Schizosaccharomyces pombe: one gene and its partners. The protein of the gene in region 1 interacts with the protein of each later gene in a biochemical or structural test. Each region holds a gene or a part of one and is shown in the gene's direction. Other genes may lie near its edges.

Region 1 (8,349 bases):
TCTTCAATTCCCAAGCGCTTTTATGCGCTTTCTGCTAATCAAAAAAAGGTAAAGAAGTTTATTTAAACGCGCTTTTTTGGAGCAAGCAATGACTGTATTTTCTATCTGTGCTGTTTGCTACTATCAACAGGCGATAGATTGACTTGCTCAAATGATTTATGAAGTGTTCTAATAAAGTTCTAACGATAATTAAGTTACTCAAAGCACCATTGGCAGAATGTGATCCGACAGTGTATAAGATTTTGGAATCTGAGAAAAGCCGTCAGAAAGAGTCGATAGCTTTAATTGCTAGCGAAAACTTTACTTCAAGAGCTGTGATGGATGCACTCGGAAGTATTATGCAAAACAAATATAGTGAAGGCTATCCTGGTGCAAGATATTATGGTGGTAATGAATTTATAGATCAAGCTGAAAGACTATGTCAAACGAGAGCTTTAGAAGCTTTTCATTTGGATGGGGAAAAATGGGGAGTAAATGTACAACCCCATTCTGGGTCTCCGGCCAACTTACAGGCTTATCAAGCAGTAATGAAGCCACACGATCGCCTAATGGGTTTAGATTTACCCCATGGCGGTCATTTATCTCATGGTTTCTCTACTCCCCAGAAAGCTATTTCAGCTGTCTCGACTTATTTTTCCACCATGCCATATAACGTAAATAAGGAAACTGGTATTATTGACTATGATAGTTTGGAAAAGGCTGCGATACAATTTCGTCCTAAAGTTATAGTTGCAGGCGCTAGTGCTTATGCACGACTCGTTGATTACAAGCGTATGCGTAAAATTACGGAAATGTGCAATGCCTATTTGCTTTGTGATATGGCTCACATATCCGGTTTAGTAGCTGCCGGTGTAATTCCTTCTCCGTTTGAATACGCCGATATTGTTACTACGACGACTCATAAGTCTTTACGTGGACCGAGAGGAGCTATGATATTTTATCGAAAAGGTACTCGTTCTCACGATAAACGTGGTAATCCAATTTTATATGAATTAGAGGATAAAATCAATTTCTCAGTTTTTCCTGGACATCAAGGCGGCCCCCATAATCATACAATTACTGCGTTAGCTGTCGCCCTTGGACAAGCAAAAACTCCTGAATTCTATCAATACCAAAAGGACGTTCTAAGTAACGCCAAGGCAATGGCCAATGCATTTATTACTCGTGGCTATAAGTTAGTTTCAGGTGGCACGGATACTCACTTGGTTCTTGTTGATTTGACCGACAAAGGTGTAGATGGTGCCCGTGTCGAACGTATTTTAGAGCTTGTAAATATTTCTGCCAACAAGAATACTGTGCCCGGAGATAAGTCTGCTTTAATTCCACGTGGATTACGTCTGGGAACTCCAGCTTGCACTACTCGCGGTTTTGATGAGAAGGATTTTGAGAGAGTGGTAGAGCTAATTGATGAAGTTGTATCTTTGACCAAGAAAATAAATGAAGCTGCTTTGAAGGAAGGAAAATCGAAGTTTAGAGACTTCAAAGCATATGTGGGTGATGGTTCTAAATTCTCTGAAATCGCCAAACTGAAGAAAGAAGTTATAACTTGGGCTGGAAAATTTGATTTCCCCGTTTAAGCTGTCTCTAACTTTTTGGCTCTTATCTCATACTTATCATCTGTTACTTTCTCTTATAAAGGATATATCATGGAAATTAAACATGAGCTGTATGAATAATGAAAATATCTGGACAAATTCTCTATTAAAGTAACCCTACAAATATCATATAATAAACAGAGGTAATAATGTGTTACACTTATATGCTGCATAGGAATGGGGATAAAATTATGCTGAAGCGTGTATAAAGAAGGACGGTAAATCCATAGTAGACAATATTAGCATTAGGCAAAATATCTACCCCTTTATTAAAGGATACAGCCCTAATAAATGGTTGACTAACCTGCTAAAGATTTCATAATCATAAGGCACCTTAAATGTTATAAAGGGGTGGAGTTTTTAAATGAAGAGAAACGAGGTAAAATAATGGTACGAATCCGTGATAACCATCTAACAACATTGGGAAGAAGACTTCTTCTTATTAAGATCATTCATGGTAGGGGCGATATTAAGCGTTTGACCAGCTGTAGGATGAACACCGTCGTCTCCAGCCTCGAGTGATCTGTTGGAGACAATTCGGAAAATTTCTACGCTAGATTAGTAAAACTTGAAGAAATCAAAGCAAGTACGAATAAACATACCAGTCAAAACTGTTTGGAAAGCTTCTTCAACATTGCTAGCATCCATGGCGGAGGTTTCAATAAAAGATAAGTTATTTTCAGCTGTAAAAACATTAGTTAATTATGTTCAAAAAATTATGACGAATCAGAGGCAAACAAATGTGCTTAATAAACAGAGAATGGAATCGACAAGGTGAATAATATTTCAAAACAAAAAGAGATCTTCTACGCTTCAAGCAGTTCAAAATTGCTAAAAACGATGAACGGAATAAAGTGAGAGCGGCTAAAGCCGGTTTCACTACTTCCCGTCCGAACAACTCCATATCTCACCAACAAAATTACTTACCAGCAAATGCCTGGGCTTCTTCAGTAGATACAGCTCTTAAATGTAGTAAATCCGTTTTATTACCAACAAGCATGATAACGATGTTGCTGTCTGCATGCTCACGAAGCTCCTTTAACCAGCGGCCCACATTATCGAATGAAGATTGTTTTGTGATATCGTAAACAATCAGAGCACCAACAGCACCACGGTAATAAGCTGAGGTAATGGCCCGATAACGTTCCTGACCGGCAGTATCCCAGATCTGTGCTTTAATTTTTTTGTTGTCAAGAACAATATTTCTAGTAGCAAATTCAACACCAATAGTACTCTTGCTTTCGATATTAAATTCATTCCTAGTGAAACGCATAAGTAGGTTTGACTTTCCAACACCACTATCCCCAATCAGCACAGTCTTGAACAAATAATCGTATTCGTCCTCTTGACACATGGCTAAGTTCTCTATCGGTAAATCTACGAACAATTTTTGTTAACAAATATTTAAGGTCAAATAATATCAAGGTATATACCTGTAAATTACAATGAACCCTGCTTTCGATAGTCGAAGAATTTACTTAGTCGTAGTTTGTTGTAGGTAAGTTGCAGAGGGATATCAGAAAACCTAAGGAAGTAATAATCCTTTATCATGGTAACAAAAAAAAGTCCACTAGTGCCACTGGCCGTTAAAATGCATATAACGCATTCCAATGATTCATTAAATAATTATACTGCGTTACAAAGAATGTCGTAATCATGAGAAGGCTGGTGTCGTTTAGTGATTGCTATCATCAAAATCATTATGCTGTTGTTCACTATAAAGCGCTATTTTGTAAACATTTTAAAATGCCTTTGATATAAAGAAGCGCAAGTACTCAATTGAATGCAAGTACTATCAATTATATGAATGACCGATTGAACCCAATCGCAAAACTGGATATGGACGGGTTGGTATGGGTTTTTACAGTGCGATTAGTCAGTACTATACCCATTTTAGTCCTGCATCAAACAATGATGTAGAAATTCTTTGAAAGCAATGTTTTGATTTCCAAGTTACAAAGTTATCTAGCCAAAGAAAGAATATTTTAAGTTCCGGTTTTTTCAGCAGCTTTTTCTCACTTTTATAATGGTCACAATGATCGAAATTAAAAATTTGAAAGAATAAAATTGGCGGCTCAATTGAAATCTTTTTCTTTATGCAAAAGTTATACAATGTTGGATGCTGCTCATGGCATGCAGGCATCCTTCATGCAGAAAGTTACTTGAGTAATCCATCGAATAATTATCGTTGGCAAATCTTGGGTTAACAAGAAACAAAAAAATCCTGCACATAAACAGTTTTTCTTATTAAGTTCATTTCATGGAAAACGAATAACATAGTTCCGTAATAATATAAGTAAATGGATCCCTTGGTTAACCTCTATATAAAATTAATGCAAGCAATTATCAAAAGAGGTCGTGTGGTTTAGATGGTTATAATTTCTGCTTAACATGCTAGTTCGCAGACGGTCCCAAGTTCGAGTCTTGGCACGATCATTTTTTTCTATCGTAGTAATTATTTACTTTTCTTATTGTACTACCAGTTTTGGAATGATATGTTGTGTTGAATTCGTTTATATAGAGTTAACACATTTAGAGGTATTATGTATAAACGCATCGTTTAATAAATTGCAGCGCTCAAAATCTACTCATTGTAGCTTTTTGAAAACAAAATTCATTATTTGTTTAAAGTTTTTCTAACTTACACAACCACCCAGAAAATAAAATTAGAAGTTCAGGAGGAATGAGAAAATTTTAAACATTTATCAATTTACCAACAAAGTTTTTTGACTACTAGTACCTCATGTATGCAACTAGTAACACTAGTGGTTAGTGAGTATTTTCTCAAAGTACATATGTCTCCATAGGTGTCTTCAAATCTGCAACCTCAACCTCACACACTTGATTAATGCAATAAAACTCCAAACCCAATCGAAAACTTATTTTTTTGTATATTTAACGGTTTGCGTTGGTGACACGACGGTAAAATCACGCGGATTTTGTTTGATTCCAAAATTCGAGTGCATAAGCCATCTTGCTTATTGCAGCGAGACTTCGAAATTCTAACATCTAAAAGCTTCATTACTGGAATTATCTGTTGTTATTCTTGTGTTCCATTGGTAAAAAAATCACAAGCAAAAGGGAAATATTTGAGCCATTTTAGAGGTTATACTCTGCCCTTCATGCAACTATAAAAGTAGTTGAAAGGGAAGAACTTTGGCTAATAGTTTTGTCAAGGAATCTATTCAATCTTGCTTAATTCCGTTTTTTTTTTAAATTCATATCTTTATCCTTTTATATATTTTTTTGTTGTAATACTTCAATCTCTCTTAGCGACACGTAGGTGAGCAAAAAACCCGCTACCTTGAAATGGTATCTGTTAAACCACTTCCTGATATTGACTCGAATGAAGGTGAGACAGACGCGGATGTTTATGAGGTGGAAGATATCCTTGCTGACCGCGTAAATAAAAATGGCATAAACGAATATTATATAAAATGGGCTGGCTATGATTGGTATGATAATACTTGGGAACCTGAACAAAATTTATTCGGTGCGGAAAAAGTGCTTAAAAAATGGAAAAAACGGAAAAAGTTAATTGCTAAAGGCTTGCTTGAACCTTTCGATGCGGAAGATAATGAGGCAAAGAAAATGAAGAGAGAAAAGGAGATATTGAGGCAACAAAGACAAAAGCGCAAATCCGAGCTTACCCAATTATCTCAAAAAGTCAAAGAAAAATTCAAAAAGATGCGTAAGAAGCCTGCCCGAAGGATTGTAACCATCGCAAATGATGAAGAGGAAGAGGACGATCAGACAATGGATGAGGATGCGTTTGAGAGAAAAAGTATGCAAGGGGAATTGAAGGAGAGGAATTTGACCGATAAAACTAGCACGCTATCCACATCGTTTGGTGAAACTAGCCCTGATGTTAATCCTTTCTACTTATCAGAGTGGCCTACAGTTACCGACAGTATTTTATTGTCCAAAAGCCTCTCCAGCGATGCAATACCTTTGAAAAATGGCGAAATTAAAAGCACAATGTTGATGCCCAGTGACTCTGACAACTCAGTTCCCGGAATTCAAAATTCGAACAATCTTGAAAATACTGGCGCTTTTGTTGAAAATGCGAATTCACCACAATCTAACACCCCCTTGTCAACCTTTAGGCATTCAAGCCCTTTAAGTCTGTCGCCAGTAATAACTTCCGATAATGATGTTGCCAATTCATTATTTTTTAGCAATTCGACTCCTCTTCCTTCCTCTTTGAAGATAAAAAAGGAAGCACCGAAATTAGAAACGCATACGATATTAGTTAGTGATAATTCTGGTTCTTTAACGAAGCAAGATATTTTATCGTACTTTGCTTTTATCAAAGGAAATATTGAGGTCTTTTTTCTCAAATCACCAAAGAAAGACAAAGTTTGTAATATGGCCTACATTCAATTCGATTCTATCGAACAAGCCAAACTTGCGTATGATAAAGGGCATCCAAGTTGGCATGTAACTTTAGTAAAAGGGAAGATATCAACTGATATGGAAGAATGTAAAGTCTCAAAGTCTATTTTAAAAACAACCCCTTCAAAGAAAGCAAATGCAAGGTCCGTTTCTTTTACACAAACAACAACAGATACCCTTTCTGAGTCGGAAAAATTTGCTAGCAATGTCGATCTGGACGAAAATTTCGATTTCAACGTAAACGTGACGAATGAAGATGCTAAGCAGCTTAAGAAAAGTGTTATCGGAAGTAGTTGGACTACTGTTAATAACGACTGGAACAGTGTTTCTAAAAGCGATCAAACTTTTGAAAATGATGGAGCTAGCAAAGTAGTTCCGGCTGGTAATATTACTTTAAATTCGGATAACTCTCTTCACCATTCGATAAGCGAATCCGAAGATCTTTCTTCAGCAAGCACATTGTCTGATTATTTTAGATTCGTTTTGCGAGTCGGAAAATCTCTCTACTATGCTGGAGAATTGTCATTTGATATATCCAAGCTTAAGGCGGAAACTGAACATCAACAGTTGTTACGAAGTTTAGTCAGTTGCAAGCAAGTAGATGTTTTACGTTTTGTTACTTCACAATATCTCGAGGTATTTGGTACTTGCTTGACTAAAGTTCTTTCCGGAAGTCTTTGTATTCGAAGCGATGTTGATATGACTCACTTTAAAAATATACTAAACCGCGGCAACGGTGCTGGCATCGTTCTGGGTAGTAACTATACATTATTATTATTTACAGAGGATAATAATGCTTTAATGAATTTATACGATTGTCAAGGCCAAAGCAATAGCCCTTTTTGGATGGTGATTTTTGAACCTTTAGAATCAATCCTAGTCGAATGGTCGGCAAAAAATCTAAGGCCTAAAAAGCCATATCATAAATCCCAATCTTACTTGTCTTATTTACTACAATTAGGCCACATCGATTTACATAAAATAGGCGCTTTTCAAGCTACACAAATTTTAATTGTCTCTAAACAGCCTTCTCCGGAGGCAGAAGAATTGGAGGATACTTTTAGAGAAGCTGCTATTCCGACATTTCGAGGACTCGAGATTCCGGAATCTTTGTTTTTATCACAGAATGTTTTTGTTTTCCTGAATGTCTCACTAGAGGATGATTTTGATCAACTGCAATTTTTAACACTGGCGAAAAGGAAAAGTTGTAAATTTTTCTTATTTGGTTTGTCACTCCCTCTCAAAAGTCCTAATGATTCACACGTGGGTACGGACTTTAAGAAAAACAATGAACCCCTTGATAAGTTGACATATTCACAGTACTTAAGACCGATGTTTCCTAAGGGTGGGGTGGTATCTGTTACACTCTCAGCACTTATAAAAACACCACGGCTTTTGGAACTCATTAGTCCATTTCTTGAGATTAAAAAAGATTCATGGATTTTAATTCTACCCCCATCAATTGTGGATATGGTCAAGAGCTATTTTGTAACAAACAATCCAGACAAAAGTCTCTTGGAAATTCAAAACTTATTGAATACACTCCAGCGCTACCTGACCAACCCAGCGCTGAAGAACGTGACTTTGTATCAGGATTGGGATATTGTGATCGATGATAGCGCTGATGTATCTTTAGCCAGCACTCTACAATTGTACCAGAAAAAAAATTATGATAAATATAGAAGGTTCGTATTGATTCACGAGCTTAAAAATGAATTGACGCCAGTTAATGGCCTTGACATTGTTGACTATGATGAGTTCAAAGAGACTTTTATGAGAGCTATTGGTTTAAAATAGTCGTTTTATTTATTTTGGGATACGGCGGACAATGGGATATATAGACTGACATTTTTTCTTATTACGAATGGATAGGAATACTTAAAATTAAACTCAAAGACTTATACTAGAAAATAACAGTCTACTCTTTAGAAATTAGACGATTAATTAATTAATTAATTTTTTCACTATATAATAACCGTATGTTTCAACATTGTTAGTTGTTTTTGCGCACCTCCTTAAAATCTAGGATCTCTTGGAAAAACATGTGATCCAATACCAACCGGCTAATATCTGTGTGTGTGTATTTAAACTAAACAACATGTTTGGTACTCGTTTTTTTGCTTATCAATTTTGCAAGAATTGGTTATCGAAACGACCAGGATTGGTCTTTTGGAGCTCAGTAGCAACAATAAATGCCATGTATCAAACTCGCCCTCTATACTGTGAGAGTGTCACCAAGACAATTCAACAAACATACGAAGGATTAGTTCAAAAAAGAATTAATAATGAGGATGAACTATTTTTGTTAGGTTCAGGACCGCGATATGTTTCTTTTCTAAGTATTCATGTGTATGATATC
Region 2 (8,015 bases), on another chromosome or scaffold:
ATCGAGGGCAACGGTTCCATATCCAAAGGTGGAGAATTCATGGGAAATGGATTACCGTTGATGTCGGAAATCGCGCCAGTGCCATCAGCAATCACCTGACTAGGTAAATCGAAAGAGTTGGAGAAGGGCTGGTCATTAATGGTGGAAGCAGATGGAGTAAGAGGAGGAGGGACGGACATGCTTGCAGATGCGTTACTCCCAGCATTTCCACTGGGGGAACTGTTAGCAGTAATAATGTGATTCGTTTGAGCCGAGGTAGGTTCGTTCGACCCGTTGACAGGAGGTGTGGTGATAAATTGATGATTGCTGCCAAGGGACGAAGGGACACTTGGAAAGTTAGCAGCGTTACCATAGTCAGATGCTAAGGGATCAAATGGCATGTCCATCGAGGAATCGGGAATAGTGTCGAGGGAGAAGGGGTCCATTGTGTCAGCATCGTTGTAGACACGAATGGGAACGTTCATCATATAGTCCCAGGAGGACATATCAGATAAATCTGAGTTATTTTCTTCTAACGTAGTAGGGTTAAAACGCTTTAAATTGAGTTCGGGCATCGAGATTTGCTCGAATTCAGCATCCGAGAATGCATTCGGAAATACATTAGTCACAGAGCGACCATTCATTTTGGATTTACGATTTTGTTGCAATTGGGATCCATTAAATTGCCAATCTGGAGTGGGAAAGTTATCGTTCCCATTACTAGAAATTGATCTTGCATATGTGTTGTTTGTAGTGTCCATACTACCCAGCAAAGATGCGCGAGGCAATGTATATATAAAGAATGACGTCAAGCGTCTGATTGAAAAAACCACCCTTGTCAAACAACATTGGTTAGCAATTGACGTCGTTTTACATTGATTGAGCCAATCAGAGGCCGCCAATGAAGTAGCATGGAAATGTCAGAATGCGCTGGCAGTGCTGCTGATTCGTTCTTTTCAAATAAAAGCGCGTAATGTGTAAGCGAACCCCAATTACATTCCTTCAATCTGCGACTTGCGCTCTACGCTGTCCTCTCATATGGAAAGCGAGCTTCCAGTACTTAAATCACCTTATATATCGCGGTTAGTCATAACGCACTAATGAAGGAATACGCTGCAAGCTTCATTCCAAAAGCAATCATAGAATGAGGTCAAAATGAAGAGGCGGAGTCGGGGAAAGATGAGATTGAAGGATGAATCAAGTCCACGATACTTTTAGGTCATATCACGACGTTGATTTGCATCTTACTCTAGTTACTCGTACTTTAGAGATGCGATGGAATTGAGGATGTTTGGTACAACAAATGTCTTGTTTTTCGTTTGCGCCGTGTCACGCTACTCCTAAGATAGCAGCTAAATGAAAAGTCTAAAAACGCTAAAAAAATTTCCTCCCTACATGTTCAAGTCAATCAAGTGCTTCATGTTCCCGATCACCATATCGGCATCGCAATGCAGACCTCGATTGCTTACTTAAACTCGGTAATCTCGTCTTCCGTTACCCTACATGATCACGGAATTCATCAAGTCGTTTTTACTTTTTTTTTTCCTTCCCTTCTTTCTTTCGATGCCGATGATCTTCGCTACTCTGGGGGAGTTTACCGACGATCAAACTCATCATTATTCCACGCTTCCGTCGTGTGACCTTCTCCTTATTCGTGGAGAAGTTAAAGAAAATGCCAGATGCTTCTTGCATAACCCAAAAATTAGTCATCAGCATCATTCTTTCTGGTCCTTAATAGAAGGATGTTTGGAGGCGCTGCAATTTGGCTTACTAGCAATTCTTCAGGGATTATTTTCTCAGTTTGCATGGGAAGCCTGCTCTTGTACCTTTGCATGCATGCTTCTTACTAGCGAACGTACTGAACCGTCTTATCCGTTTTCCGAGATTACAGAGGTCAGTCGTGGTGGGTTGCACTTCGTTAAGTTGAATTAAGTATGCTTAACTCAGGTGAAGTCAATTTGTCGATGTCGATGAGATTGGCTAGTACACGAAGGGGATGCGGAGCTGCTAAGCAGAGGAGTGATTTAACTATGAAACCAATTCGTAGGATAAAGTATACTTTACCGATCGATATGGATGATGCAGATGTAGGAATCAATTATTCTACTTTCTTGTGAAAAGCATAACCCATGTGTATTATTTTCAAACAAGTCAAACAGATGGATAGCCAACACGCATATGACTGCTTACTCAAGTACAAATGACTTTTAGAGCATACCAATTTCAACAGACTTTTATCACTAGTGCAACTATCTTTTTATCAGTTGTAGTCTTTCAAACATCAATAATCACTGGCATTCACACACGGCAATACCAATCATTATGTTATTACGAGAACAACTCGTGAACAAATGGATTCCAGTGTGTTCTAGCATACACATAAATGTCTCGTCTTTCTACTTTATTATTTAGTCGATGAGTGGAACAATTAATAAACTTACCATTCAATATTGCACTGACAAACGTATACTTTTTTATATTTCTCTTTCTTTTCGTAGGCTTTACGTACTTACTCTTCCTTATTTTCCTCTGCAACGAAAAAGAGGATTGGATTATGGGCTTCGTCAAACGTTACAATTACAGAGTAACCTTGTAATAAGATGAAGTAAAATATAAAGTAAACGACGTGTAGTGATAAAAAATCTGTATTTTTGTCAAAGTGAACTTAATTGTTCAACGCGTTCTGATGTCATATGCCCAAAAATAATTCACCTACCCAAGGTAATTGAAAAATTTGTCAATACAAAACGAATGCTTTATAAACACAAAAGAAAACATGTCAGATTAGAGAAAGAGTCGTACGCTCTCATTGCTGAAAGCTTTTTATCCTTAACACTTTACTGGAATTTGTTAGTCCCGTTGACTATGTGGTTGTTAGATACAGATTAGGTAAATTCATTTATTGTGGTATTAAGCAAGGAGCGGAAGAAAGTACGTACTTTTTTACATTGTTAAAAGTTTTATTTGACGAAATTACAACACTTAATAAGTATCTAAGTATGCGATCGAGCTGATTCAATTTGATATCTCTCAATTAGAAAGTTGCGTATTACCTCACAACTACGATGTACCGTACAATTCACAATCTTCCTGGCTATGCAACTGTTTGCTATCAACTAGTCGCTTAGATAACCTTCTTTAACCCCATTCACTAGACACACTTTCCCCATACCCAGAAAGATGACACGAAGAACAGTGTAACGCATCAACTAGGTTAATTTGCTTAAGGTCGCACAAACAATTACCTAAAGAAAAACTTGCGCGTTTACTATATTTGTACTACTTATAAATATCACGATACGATTCGGGTTTAATGAACATTATATTAATCATTTCATTCAATAAATGTATTAATCACAAATCCACGAAGAAAAATTCATCTTCTTGTCAGATGGAGTATTCAGCCGTGATACAACGCGATATGAAAAATTTCTCACAAAGACCAAACGCCTTTTTGTCTATGAATTGCACTAGCAAATTGATAATGCTTCTTCTGATATCGCCCAGATGAAAAACATTCTCGTTTGGCATGTATATATAGAATAGTTATAGTGTACACATAAAATTGATAGACTCGAAACAAAAAATTCGGAGTCGGCAATTGATATCGAATTTAACCACCGAAACCATAAATGGTACGGCCTTGACGCTTCAAAGAGTAGACAACATCCAAAGATGTAACAGTCTTACGCTTGGCATGCTCAGTATAGGTGACAGCATCACGAATAACATTTTCCAAGAAGAGCTTGAGGACAGCACGAGTCTCTTCGTAAACTAAAGCGGAAATACGCTTAACACCACCACGACGAGCAAGACGACGAATGGCAGGCTTAGTAATACCTTGAATATTGTCACGAAGGATCTTACGGTGACGCTTGGCACCACCCTTTCCTAAACCTTTTCCACCTTTACCACGGCCAGACATATTGCACTATTAATATTAACGAAATAGAGTTACTACTATAAACAGTGCTTCTATTGCTAGTAGGGTATGCGGCATTTCACAATATATATTAATGCGCCGTCCCTATTAACTTACGTCAATTTAATTAAAGGGTTAGGGTTGTGATCAAAGTTGGATGTAGGGACATATTTATACAGCGTAATCTCCCTATAATTTGTTTTTATCTACACAGGGCAATTATCAGAACACTAGAAAATAATGGCTCGTACTAAGCAAACTGCACGTAAATCAACTGGTGGTAAGGCTCCTCGTAAGCAACTTGCCTCTAAGGCTGCCCGTAAGGCTGCTCCCGCTACTGGTGGTGTTAAGAAGCCTCATCGTTATCGTCCCGGTACAGTCGCTCTTCGTGAAATTCGTCGTTATCAAAAGTCTACTGAACTTTTGATTCGTAAGCTACCTTTCCAACGCTTGGTCCGTGAAATCGCCCAAGATTTCAAGACTGACTTGCGTTTCCAGTCTTCTGCCATTGGTGCTCTCCAAGAAGCTGTTGAGGCCTATCTTGTCTCTCTATTTGAAGACACTAACTTGTGTGCTATTCACGGAAAGCGTGTAACTATTCAACCCAAGGATATGCAATTGGCTCGTCGTCTTCGCGGTGAACGCTCATAAGCAACTTTACCAAATTGTGGTTGCCATCTGATGGTGTGATTTGGAATCTTTTGGTCGTCTATCCCATTGTAATCCTTCCCTCATTTACTTTGCCTTTCGAAACAAAATTTAACCTTGAGTGTTGTGGAATGTAACAAACGATATGCAAGTCTAATTTTTTGTTTCCGTGAGCTGCACTATCTATTTATATTTTTGTTTTCTTTTTTCGAGTTATACCGCGGACGTTTTTATTTTCGAAATGTATAGAAATTTTTAATTCTCTCTTTACGTCCTGCGCAATTGTGTAAATGAAACGCTGAGGAACTTCATCTGTATTCTTATATGCTATTTAATAGTAAATTAATTTTTAATATCATTATTGAAACACGATAAACTAAGGGTTGACCGTATTTGATTTTTTGTAGTATTTTTAAAAACTCGTATCGATAATTAATTAATTACTCGAAGCTGAACGCAGATTCATTAAATTCGGGGACATCGTCCGGTGTTGGCCGGATATCTTGTCCCATAAGAGTTTTTCCAAGTTTGGGGGAGTCGTGAGTTTTTTCCACTGCAGACTGCTTGTCAGTTACCATATAATCCTCAGTTTCAAGATGAGCAGTTGCAGGATTTTTTTGGAATTTCCAATTACGCAAAAGCCCAAGTGCTATTAGGTCACATCCTAATTGGCAATACACATTAGCATTATGCAAAACAAATCGATATTCAAGACTTTCATCAATTTGCACGTTGCTGGATCTTAAACATTCATATAACAAAATGAAGGCAGGATCATCAGACGGAAACTTATTTCGTACGGGTTCGTTAGTACTATTTCGTTGTGAATCTTTATTTTCGTGAATTTCTTGGTCGTTTTTATCGGATGTATAAAGTTGTATAAAGTCATTATCGCTGACCAGCGAGCGAATGGGAGATACCAAACTTTGCAAGGCCTTTTTTTCCTGTTTTAAAATAGTGAAACTCCAATTGGTGAGCCATCTATCGTTTTGAGATACAGCCAAAGGAAGTACATACTCGTTTATTAGCCTCTTTAAGGTCGGACCATCGTCGCCTTCATAGACTCGAGTCATTGCGATGGCTAATGAAATGCTTTTTAAATTACGGATACATACTTTTGCGGCATCATAGCAACTATCTGCCAAAAGAAAAAATGCAGAAGCATAAAAATATCTGTGCTTGCTTAAAAGTGCAAAAGCATTCTTGGATGCAACCACTTTCCACTTCTTTTTTGAAAAGTCATTCGAAAGCAACTTAACCGTTCGAGCTGATTCCTTATGCCAACTAGCAAGACGCCAAAGATCACGAAATACATTTATTTTGTGTAGAGCAATGTGATATAAACTAACATTCTCTGGGTTCCTATCGTCAATCTCAGCGTAATGATTGCGAGACAGCTCTAAAAATACATCTTTCAGTAGCTGCTCATTTAGCCAAAACGGTATCGCATATTCTTCAACAGCATTCCATAACAATGGTTTTCCATGAAGCTTTTTAGTGTGGTCCAACAGAACAGCTTTGTTAGAGCTATGAAAAGCCCACGCCATCTCTCGGGTGGGCAAGCTTGTTAATTGACGTTGATGTTTTGATAAAACGTACTGGTTTAGCATAATGCAATATCTTTTTCCGTTGAGGTCCAATGAATCTCGCAATGCTCTTGCCTTATTGAATGCCTCGATTAAATTAAGAAGTAAAAACTGAGATGATCGAGTGAGGGTTTTGACTTTCTTTACTTTTAATAATGCAGTCAACTTCTTTATCATTTCATCAATGTATAATCCTAAATGCTTTGAGACACTGGTCTCTTCAAAATCCAATTCCGCAGGATTTAGAATTTCCGCAGAATTTTGGCTGAGACTTTTTATTAAAAGGTCTTTAGAAATTTCTTCGTCACAGCAGTAAAACTCACTGCAGTCCATATTTAAGAGAAAATGCATATCTACATCATCTTTCAAACACAAGTAAAACCTTAGCAAAATATTAGTAAATAGAAAGGGTTGGTTTCTAAGTAAAAGCTGCTGCAACAATTGAGGATGAAAAACTGGTAAAATTCCATTAAGCTGGTATGCAAGATCAAAAATATTTTTTGCGGAACGTTTCAATGATGCAGGGAACAGTAAAGACTGATCTTCGGGAAGTGAATTATCAAAATAAAAAAGTCCGTTACCAATGGCAGTAACTAAAGTCCCATTATCCAACCAAGAAGAGTCAGATATTAATGAATTTGTATATTCTAAAAGATTGTATCTACGAATACGAGACCAACATGGAATATCGTTCATATAAGATCGGCGATTTTGGCACAAAAGAATAACATCATGTAGAAAGCCAACAGCCAAGATAGAATGGGAATTGGGAGTAGAAGTCCAATCCAAGTCATTTATTGGTCCATAATCATCAAAAACAGAGGAAAATTCTTCCTTTTCAGAGAATTCTGAACTACGCGTGTCGAAAATTGAAAGTCGACGATTGTTCTCAGATACAACAGCAACTTTCTTGGATGTTGAGCCTTTGATCATAGTTGCAGATTTGATGCTAGTTTGCACTTTGGAAATTTCCGATATTTCCGCTTTATCGTCTCCCAATACTCTTGCCATCCAAGTCTGTAATAAACCGTCTTTTGATATTGATTGAAATACCTCTTGATCAAATGAAGATAAACTGCTCAAATTTAAAGTAGAAGACCAACCCATGACATCTACAGCCGATGCGATATTTAAATTCTTTGTAAAATTTACCCGATCTATAAACCGAAGTACAGCAGAACCATCATGAGCTTCGTTAGAGACACTCCAAAACCAGGCATGGCCTCCTTCCGTCAAAGCACATAGGGCGGAATTATCGTTGTTTTGAACAGGAAGAATAAAGAAGGTTATTATCGGACTAGTAGGGACTTGACGACATGTACAGAGAAGGGTTGGAGGAATTGCTTCATTGCAATGCCATAATTTTAAAGAATTTAAGTTGAGTACTGCTGCATATTCACCAGCATAAAGAGGTAATATAAAGTCAGATTCTCCAAGTAATAATCTGAACCTGCAAATTAACTGATTTTTCCCGTCTTGCGATATGTATGATTGAAACATACAGATACGATTAACATCTCGGGATACAATTCCATGACCATTAGAGGTTCTTGTTAAGCTTTTTATGGGATAATCATGTCCATAAAAATCGTAACTAACTCTTAACTCAAAGTCACTATAAAAGAAATCGGTAAGACTAAACATGTATTCACGGGCGGAATTTTGAAAAAATAAAATGATGTTATAATCGTAAAATTCGTGTTTTGAGGTCCTGTAAATAGGTATAAATCCGTCAGGTTGAAGAGCGCCTTTGGGAAAGTTCGTTGGAACTTGATTAATAAGCTCAAAAGATGACAAAGTTTCCTGGTCAATTACTAGAGAAAATATGTACAAACATTCAAAAGTAAATAGCAAAAATATATGTGGTTGTCCACTGGCCA
Region 3 (6,032 bases), on another chromosome or scaffold:
AGTCCAAATTGTGAACACTTTTCCATCGTACATCATTTATTTAGCTCAGAATTACTTCGGATCCAAAAAAATTTAAACATCTTGACTTGAAGTCCCAGTTTCACTTTTTTTTTAACTTATAATGGCTTCATTAGGTCGTAAATTTTTTGCTGTGGGTGTTTTGTCACGAGTCTTCCCTTCTGCTTTTAATGCACAAAAAGGGTTGTTAAAAAATGCATCTATGTTCTTAACCCCTGCTTTCAGACTTTCTCCTAGCCTTCTACCTTGGAACTTTTCAAGAGGTTTCAAAGTGAAAGCATCAGTAAAAAAGCGTTGTTCATCCTGCTATTTTGTGCGTCGCAAAGGTAGGTTGTATGTACTATGCAAAAAACATCCGAGACATAAAACCCGTCAAGGTTAATGACTATAACCGGTTTCGCTTCTTCTTTTTTTTTCTACCTAGGCTAATTCTTCATTACGCTCACTTCATATTACGACGATTTTTGGACTACCTACCAAATCCTTACTCCCTTCTCTCTCGTTAATGCGTAGTCATTAAATGTGATATTATTGTTGACATTATAGCTTCATGCTAAAGAATTCATAAAAACATACGTAATCTTAAATGATATGCTTTCGCATCTTAGTCGATTTTTTTCAAAGCCTCAGTAAGCCTTTCTATACTTTTCTCATTATCAGTAATAACACCTTGATTTTTCTGGATACGCGTCGTTAAGTAATGAGCACGATCCTTCACACCTGATTCAAGGTTCCCAAGGTCCTTTAGCATTTGTAGCTCCTGTTCATCATTCTTGATAGCATTGTTAGCCATGCCAATTAACGCGTTACATCTCACCAACTGCATATTAGCACTTAATACTGGATCATTTACAAGTTGCCGGAAAGCCGTAACATATACAGGTTTTCCAGCGTAGACTTTATCCGGTCTTGCATTCACTGTGGTAATAGTAATCAATTCTGATTCTTCCAAGGCACGAACGGCATCGTCGTGTCCTTTGAACAGTGGGTCAAGCATCAACATATGATAGGGTATATATTCATGTTGAGATAAATAAGTAATTAAGGTCCATGACTCTTCTGGAGTGAACGTTGGCTTCTCCTCACTGGTTAAAGAAGCAGGCCGTAAAAATGTTTGCAAAATATCAGAGGCATTTTGACTTACAATACCGCCAATTGCTTCAGAAACACTGGAAGAATTAACCCGCAACCTACGAGCTACATAATCAAGATCACGAAGTCGGCCACCAATCTTCGGTAATTGGACCCGCAATTCTTTCCTCAATTCTTCTGTTTGCATCTCTTCGGGTAAAGACTCTATGACATATCGCTGAGCAAGTACAGGGTCAGCATCTCCTAATAACAATGTTCTATTTTCCCAACCGTTGACATATTGCTCTAATGACTTGGTGCCTCCAACATCGGGTGTTAGCATTAGTACATGAGCAATTCCTTCCTTTACCAAATTACCAGCCCATTCAGCAACCACTCTCTGCATCGGGTTTGATAATTTACGAAGCTGGAAATTGTCGAGAATAACAACAGGTAAGCGATCTGCATGAACTTCTAAAAACTCAGATTCATCCAACACACTAGTATCGGCTTCTTTATGCTCTCGTAATGCTAGAGAACGCAATACCGTTTGTGTTGTGTTAAGAATTTGCCGCACTTGTCCTTCACTAGAAGAAACAATTCCCGTTTTTTGTCCTATGAGACCTTGTGCAGCCATATCGATAAGTGACGATATGTTGTTTAGGAAGCTAAAGAGGGGGAAATACCCCGTTTGGCTAGCAAGAGTACTTACGAACATTTCCGTATTAGTAGTGGAGAATAAGCGATCACAGTCGAAAAACAAAACATTTTTTCGTTCTTTAACAACTCGATCTACCAGATCACGCTTACCACTACCACGAGGACCTTGAACAACAATAAAAGAATGTAATGCTTCATCCAACCATTCTTTCAACTGTTCACAATCCTTTTCACGTGTTGTCCAAATCGGTGCCTTTATATTTGTACCATTTTCGTGAAAGGGACTCAAAACTATATCGCGAGTTTTCTTTTTGACCCACCCAACAACATTGATATTTCTCAACTTCTGACCATGTACAATGTTTGTCTCGACAAAGAACTTTCTTATCGGATCGAATAAAGAAGCCGTTAAAACTGTAATAGCCGCCGCAACCAAAGGAATAGTAAAACGAGGATGAGAGAATAACCAGTCTTTGAAGGCGACAAAGCGGTTCATATGTCTGTATCGCATGTGGAATTCTGTTTTCCCATAAACAAAACCATGCATACAGTTTAAAGCTGACGTAGCGGACCTTAGCGATGAAAAACTCAAAGTAGCAGAAGTAGGTGAATTAATGGTCACGGATCTTAGTTTTCCATATGTCCTAAAAATACTATACAATCTTTCCTGGGAAAGGGGCGGACCTTCGAAATTCACATCTACTGTACGAGATGGAAATATATATAAATCTTGAAGCCAAGGAATACCATGTACCATGTGTGGAATCGGGGTAGAGAAAGGGTGTAAAATTGTTCGAACTGGACGCTTTCGAAATGATTCACGGACGTGTTCTGAAACCGCTTCTGTATCTTGTGGGAATTCCTTGTAACGTACTTTTAAAAATGCTCCTCCATCTTGCCATCTGAATATGATATCTTCCAACTGCATTGTATCAGAGCTTGGAAAAGCAGCACTTAGCTGCTTTTTCAAGTTGTTCTGAAAGAGCAACGCAGTGTATCGCTGAATGTAGAAATAGGTTGGAGTATTGACGAGATTATCCACGAAGAAAAGACCTTCATTTGGATCTAGCTTGATATGACCAATATTATGTGCCACTAAAGAATGAGCATAGCGACGTGGAAACATAAACGGTCGTGCATGACCCAAAAATGAAGTATTTCGTAACCCCGTGAACCGAGATAGAAACAAATTCATAGTTTCGGGTAGGCTTTAAATTAGTTTCAACGATGTCTAAGAAATACACAACGGTTTGTTGCACTCCAATATGAATATTCAAACACCAAAAACGAACAGCCAAGAAAATGATTATTTAAGTTATACGGTTAACAGTAAGTCAGGATTCCAAATGGGATCTGTCAATGATGTAAAAGGCTAGTGGTTTAAGAACATTGCTTAAAAATGCTAAATAAAATTAGCATTGTAAATTTAGACATCGTTAAATAAATTCAAAACAGTAGAATCAAATGGGTCATTTGAATCATAAAGAGTTGATAGCCTTTTAGCATGCATAGGTTGTGTATCCAGTTATTATCTTCAAGTTCTTTTTTCGTAAACAATTATGGGAATAAATTCGATTGTACATACATTTTTCAATCGGGTAATGCAGCAGCATAGCTTTAGCAATCATGGTTGATTCGATATTATTATTTTTAAAGCCTTAATTTTGAAATCCGTATTCACTTATATCTTCGTAAAATTCAGAGGCGTCAGCATTTGTGATATCAGCATCCAAGTCGACTTCTTCAATATCGTGATCTTCTACTTCTTCATTATCACCATCCATATCGTCCATTTCGCCTTCTTCAGGAAAGCTCCCACTTCCCAATTCTTCTTCATCCAACTCAGTGTCTTGATTAGCCTCTTCGCGCTCTTGCTCTTCCAAATCAAGCTGCTCTTGCATAGACCTATTTAATCCAATGGGCCGAATAGTGCGAAATCCAAACTGTTTAATTGCAAGCTCCTAAGATTCGTTCAAGTTAGACTTTTCTCATGCACAGAAACTCGTTGAAAATCGTAAACAAACATACCTGAGTCTCCAGTCTAACTTCTTCCTTTTCCAATTCTTTCATAGAAGGAAAAGACGTAGGATACCATAGTTGATGGGCTGTATTAGCCATCAACGACATAAACGACATGATTTTATGCTGCAAATAAATATTGGTATTCAAGAATCAGCTGGTGTATTGTAAGACTAAAGGCGTTACTATGGTGACTGGGTTATTTACTAACCCAGTTCTGTACAATAAACAAAAAATGTAAACACAAAGCAATGCTGAGAAGCCACAAAATTAACTTTCGTGTTAATTTTTGGTTCACGTATTAATTAACAAAAGCTGTTGAACTTATTTCTCCTCTTATTTTTGACTGATTTGAAATGTTTATTGCAACGCTTGAACAAGATTATTAACTAAGAGTATCAAAATGCTTATTTTCCTTTAATGAAGAGGTCAAGGGATAAGAAATACTTATGTTCCGTAACGTTTCATGTTCAAGTTTCAGCATTTAAGTAATTGAAACTGGCTACTCTTTTCAATTTCACGTAGGTGTACTTTAAATTGGGTTTTTTAGGATTCAATTATTTGCAAATACAAAATTTCAGAAAAAAGATACCTGTATGTATCTCGATTAATATCCTTACTATCTAATGTTACACATACTCATCAAACTTCTTAACTTACTCCTAACCACTATAATTTAATGAGAGCTTTTGATCCTATTTGAGCTACGATTTTAATGGAGAAAGGAATCAAAAAATATCTTCCAAGTTTACCGTTTTTAGCTTGTATTTCAGACTTTCCCGAAAATCATGGAACATCTCGGCGATCAGCAACTGTTTCGCTAGAGCGAGTTCACGAATTATTCACTGAACATTGGCTTTCTAATCTAAAAAATAGGAGAGAAAAAAGGCAGGAACTAGCTGAAGAAGCAGTTTACTGCCGCTCTGAAATGCTATCGCAGAGGAAATTGCTGGCTGCTGTTGACTTCCCACAGCAACTTAAGAACAGTCCTGCTAAAGCAAAGGCAACCCATACTTCCTCTGGAGTCACAAAGGAGGTAAGAGCTTCAAAAAAATACACATCATCTAATGTTGAGTTTCCACTCGTTACGGATGGAAAGGAGAAGCCAGTGAAGTCGAAACAACTAAGAAAGAACTCCGTTACTGAATTTGAAAAACCTATAGAAACGAAAAAAAGCAAACATCGGAAAAGCAGAAACAAGTTTTTAGATAAAAGCTCAGGAAGCATGGAGATTGAATCGTGGGACAACTCTACTTCTGATTCAATAATAGAGTCATCTTCTAGACTGCATGAAAGCATTTCACTTCGTGAAAATGATATTCGCAGTTCTGACTCTAAGTCTGTTGGCTGGGATGATAATTCTACTGGATTTCGTGAATCTTCTAAGTCTCTTGATCATACCGATACGTCGATGTTTATGGAGCTTGATTCGAATAGCGATCCACAATTTCGTCCGAAGTATCAAGCAAAATCCTCTTGGTTTGCCCCCGATGATCCTGAAGCTTCATGGGGAAACCTGGATGATGGTTGGGGCGAAACTAATGGTTCTTGGAGCTCTACAGATGATACAAAACATTACAAAAACGAATGGGCGGAGAGTATAAATCTTGACAATTTCAATAGGCCTTCACAACAAGAGGATTACGACAAACCGAAAAACACTCAGGTTTCAAGATCATCGAATCATCATCGACGATATGATTCTTACCATCCAGATAGTCGTTCAGATTCATATAGGTCCAAACGAGAACATTACGATAATAGAGATACAGGGCCTCGAAGTAAGCATTTGGAGAAATCTTCGTATGTATACAACCAAAATTTTGAAGATCGCACTCATTTATCAGACCATGGAGCCCATTTTCATTTAGGGAATGCCAATGATTTTAATATGCAAGGTTCGTCGCGTAAAAGAAAAGCCTCTGATCGTCAACGTGAATCCAGAGAAAATGAGCTACCAACTAAAAAGCTTAACGCTTCTGATTCACATAACCCGCTAGCTTCCTTAACTACTGATAAAAATGATCTCTACATTAATTGGTTAAAATCTTTGTCATTTTTTCAAACCAATAGTTCTTGCGCTGAAGCTTTAGTAAAAGTCATTCCCCATTATCATAATAAATTGATCGATTTTTCTCAAGTCTTACAGTTGGTATTTTCCGCTTCCGAAAAGTTTCCAATTCAAGAGAACCAACCTTTGCCTGAGCAGCTTATGTTTTTGAGCAACCTCGAAAAACAAACACCATTTGCGAAAGCGGTAGGAT

Evidence for each region.
Region 2: the proteins of chp1 (region 1) and hht3 interact in a test that uses a peptide from one of them, tested with the Schizosaccharomyces pombe proteins (3 studies listed by BioGRID, with this or other methods).
Region 3: the proteins of chp1 (region 1) and tas3 are reported together in a solved structure, tested with the Schizosaccharomyces pombe proteins (one study listed by BioGRID).

The regions. Positions count from the first base shown.
Region 1 is NC_003424.3:2,210,415-2,218,763, reverse strand, and holds chp1 (heterochromatin (HP1) family chromodomain protein Chp1), read left to right. Parts: upstream 1-4,418; 5' UTR 4,419-4,904; coding exon 4,905-7,787; 3' UTR 7,788-7,954; downstream 7,955-8,349. Other genes in the region: serine hydroxymethyltransferase Shm2, read left to right, coding at 1-48, 195-1,577; Rab11 family GTPase Ypt3, read right to left, coding at 2,007-2,143, 2,198-2,278, 2,523-2,949; aim18 (chalcone related protein), read left to right, coding at 8,089-8,349. UniProt on the Schizosaccharomyces pombe protein: Component of the kinetochore which plays a role in stabilizing microtubules and so allowing accurate chromosome segregation. Has a role in the RNA interference (RNAi) pathway which is important for heterochromatin formation and accurate chromosome segregation.
Region 2 is NC_003423.3:3,525,656-3,533,670, reverse strand, and holds hht3 (histone H3 h3.3), read left to right. Parts: upstream 1-4,105; 5' UTR 4,106-4,141; coding exon 4,142-4,552; 3' UTR 4,553-4,871; downstream 4,872-8,015. Other genes in the region: DNA-binding transcription factor Rsv2, read right to left, coding at 1-740; SPOM_SPBC1105.13C (uncharacterized protein), read left to right, coding at 1,483-1,911; hhf3 (histone H4 h4.3), read right to left, coding at 3,593-3,904; RAVE complex subunit Rav1, read right to left, coding at 4,990-8,015. UniProt on the Schizosaccharomyces pombe protein: Core component of nucleosome. Nucleosomes wrap and compact DNA into chromatin, limiting DNA accessibility to the cellular machineries which require DNA as a template.
Region 3 is NC_003423.3:1,514,580-1,520,611, reverse strand, and holds the start of tas3 (RITS complex subunit 3), read left to right. Parts: upstream 1-4,432; 5' UTR 4,433-4,483; coding exon 4,484-6,032. Other genes in the region: rtc6 (mitochondrial 54S ribosomal protein bL36m), read left to right, coding at 122-400; RNA-binding protein Yme2, read right to left, coding at 623-2,944; anaphase-promoting complex platform subcomplex scaffold subunit Apc15, read right to left, coding at 3,408-3,710, 3,778-3,885. UniProt on the Schizosaccharomyces pombe protein: Has a role in the RNA interference (RNAi) pathway which is important for heterochromatin formation and accurate chromosome segregation.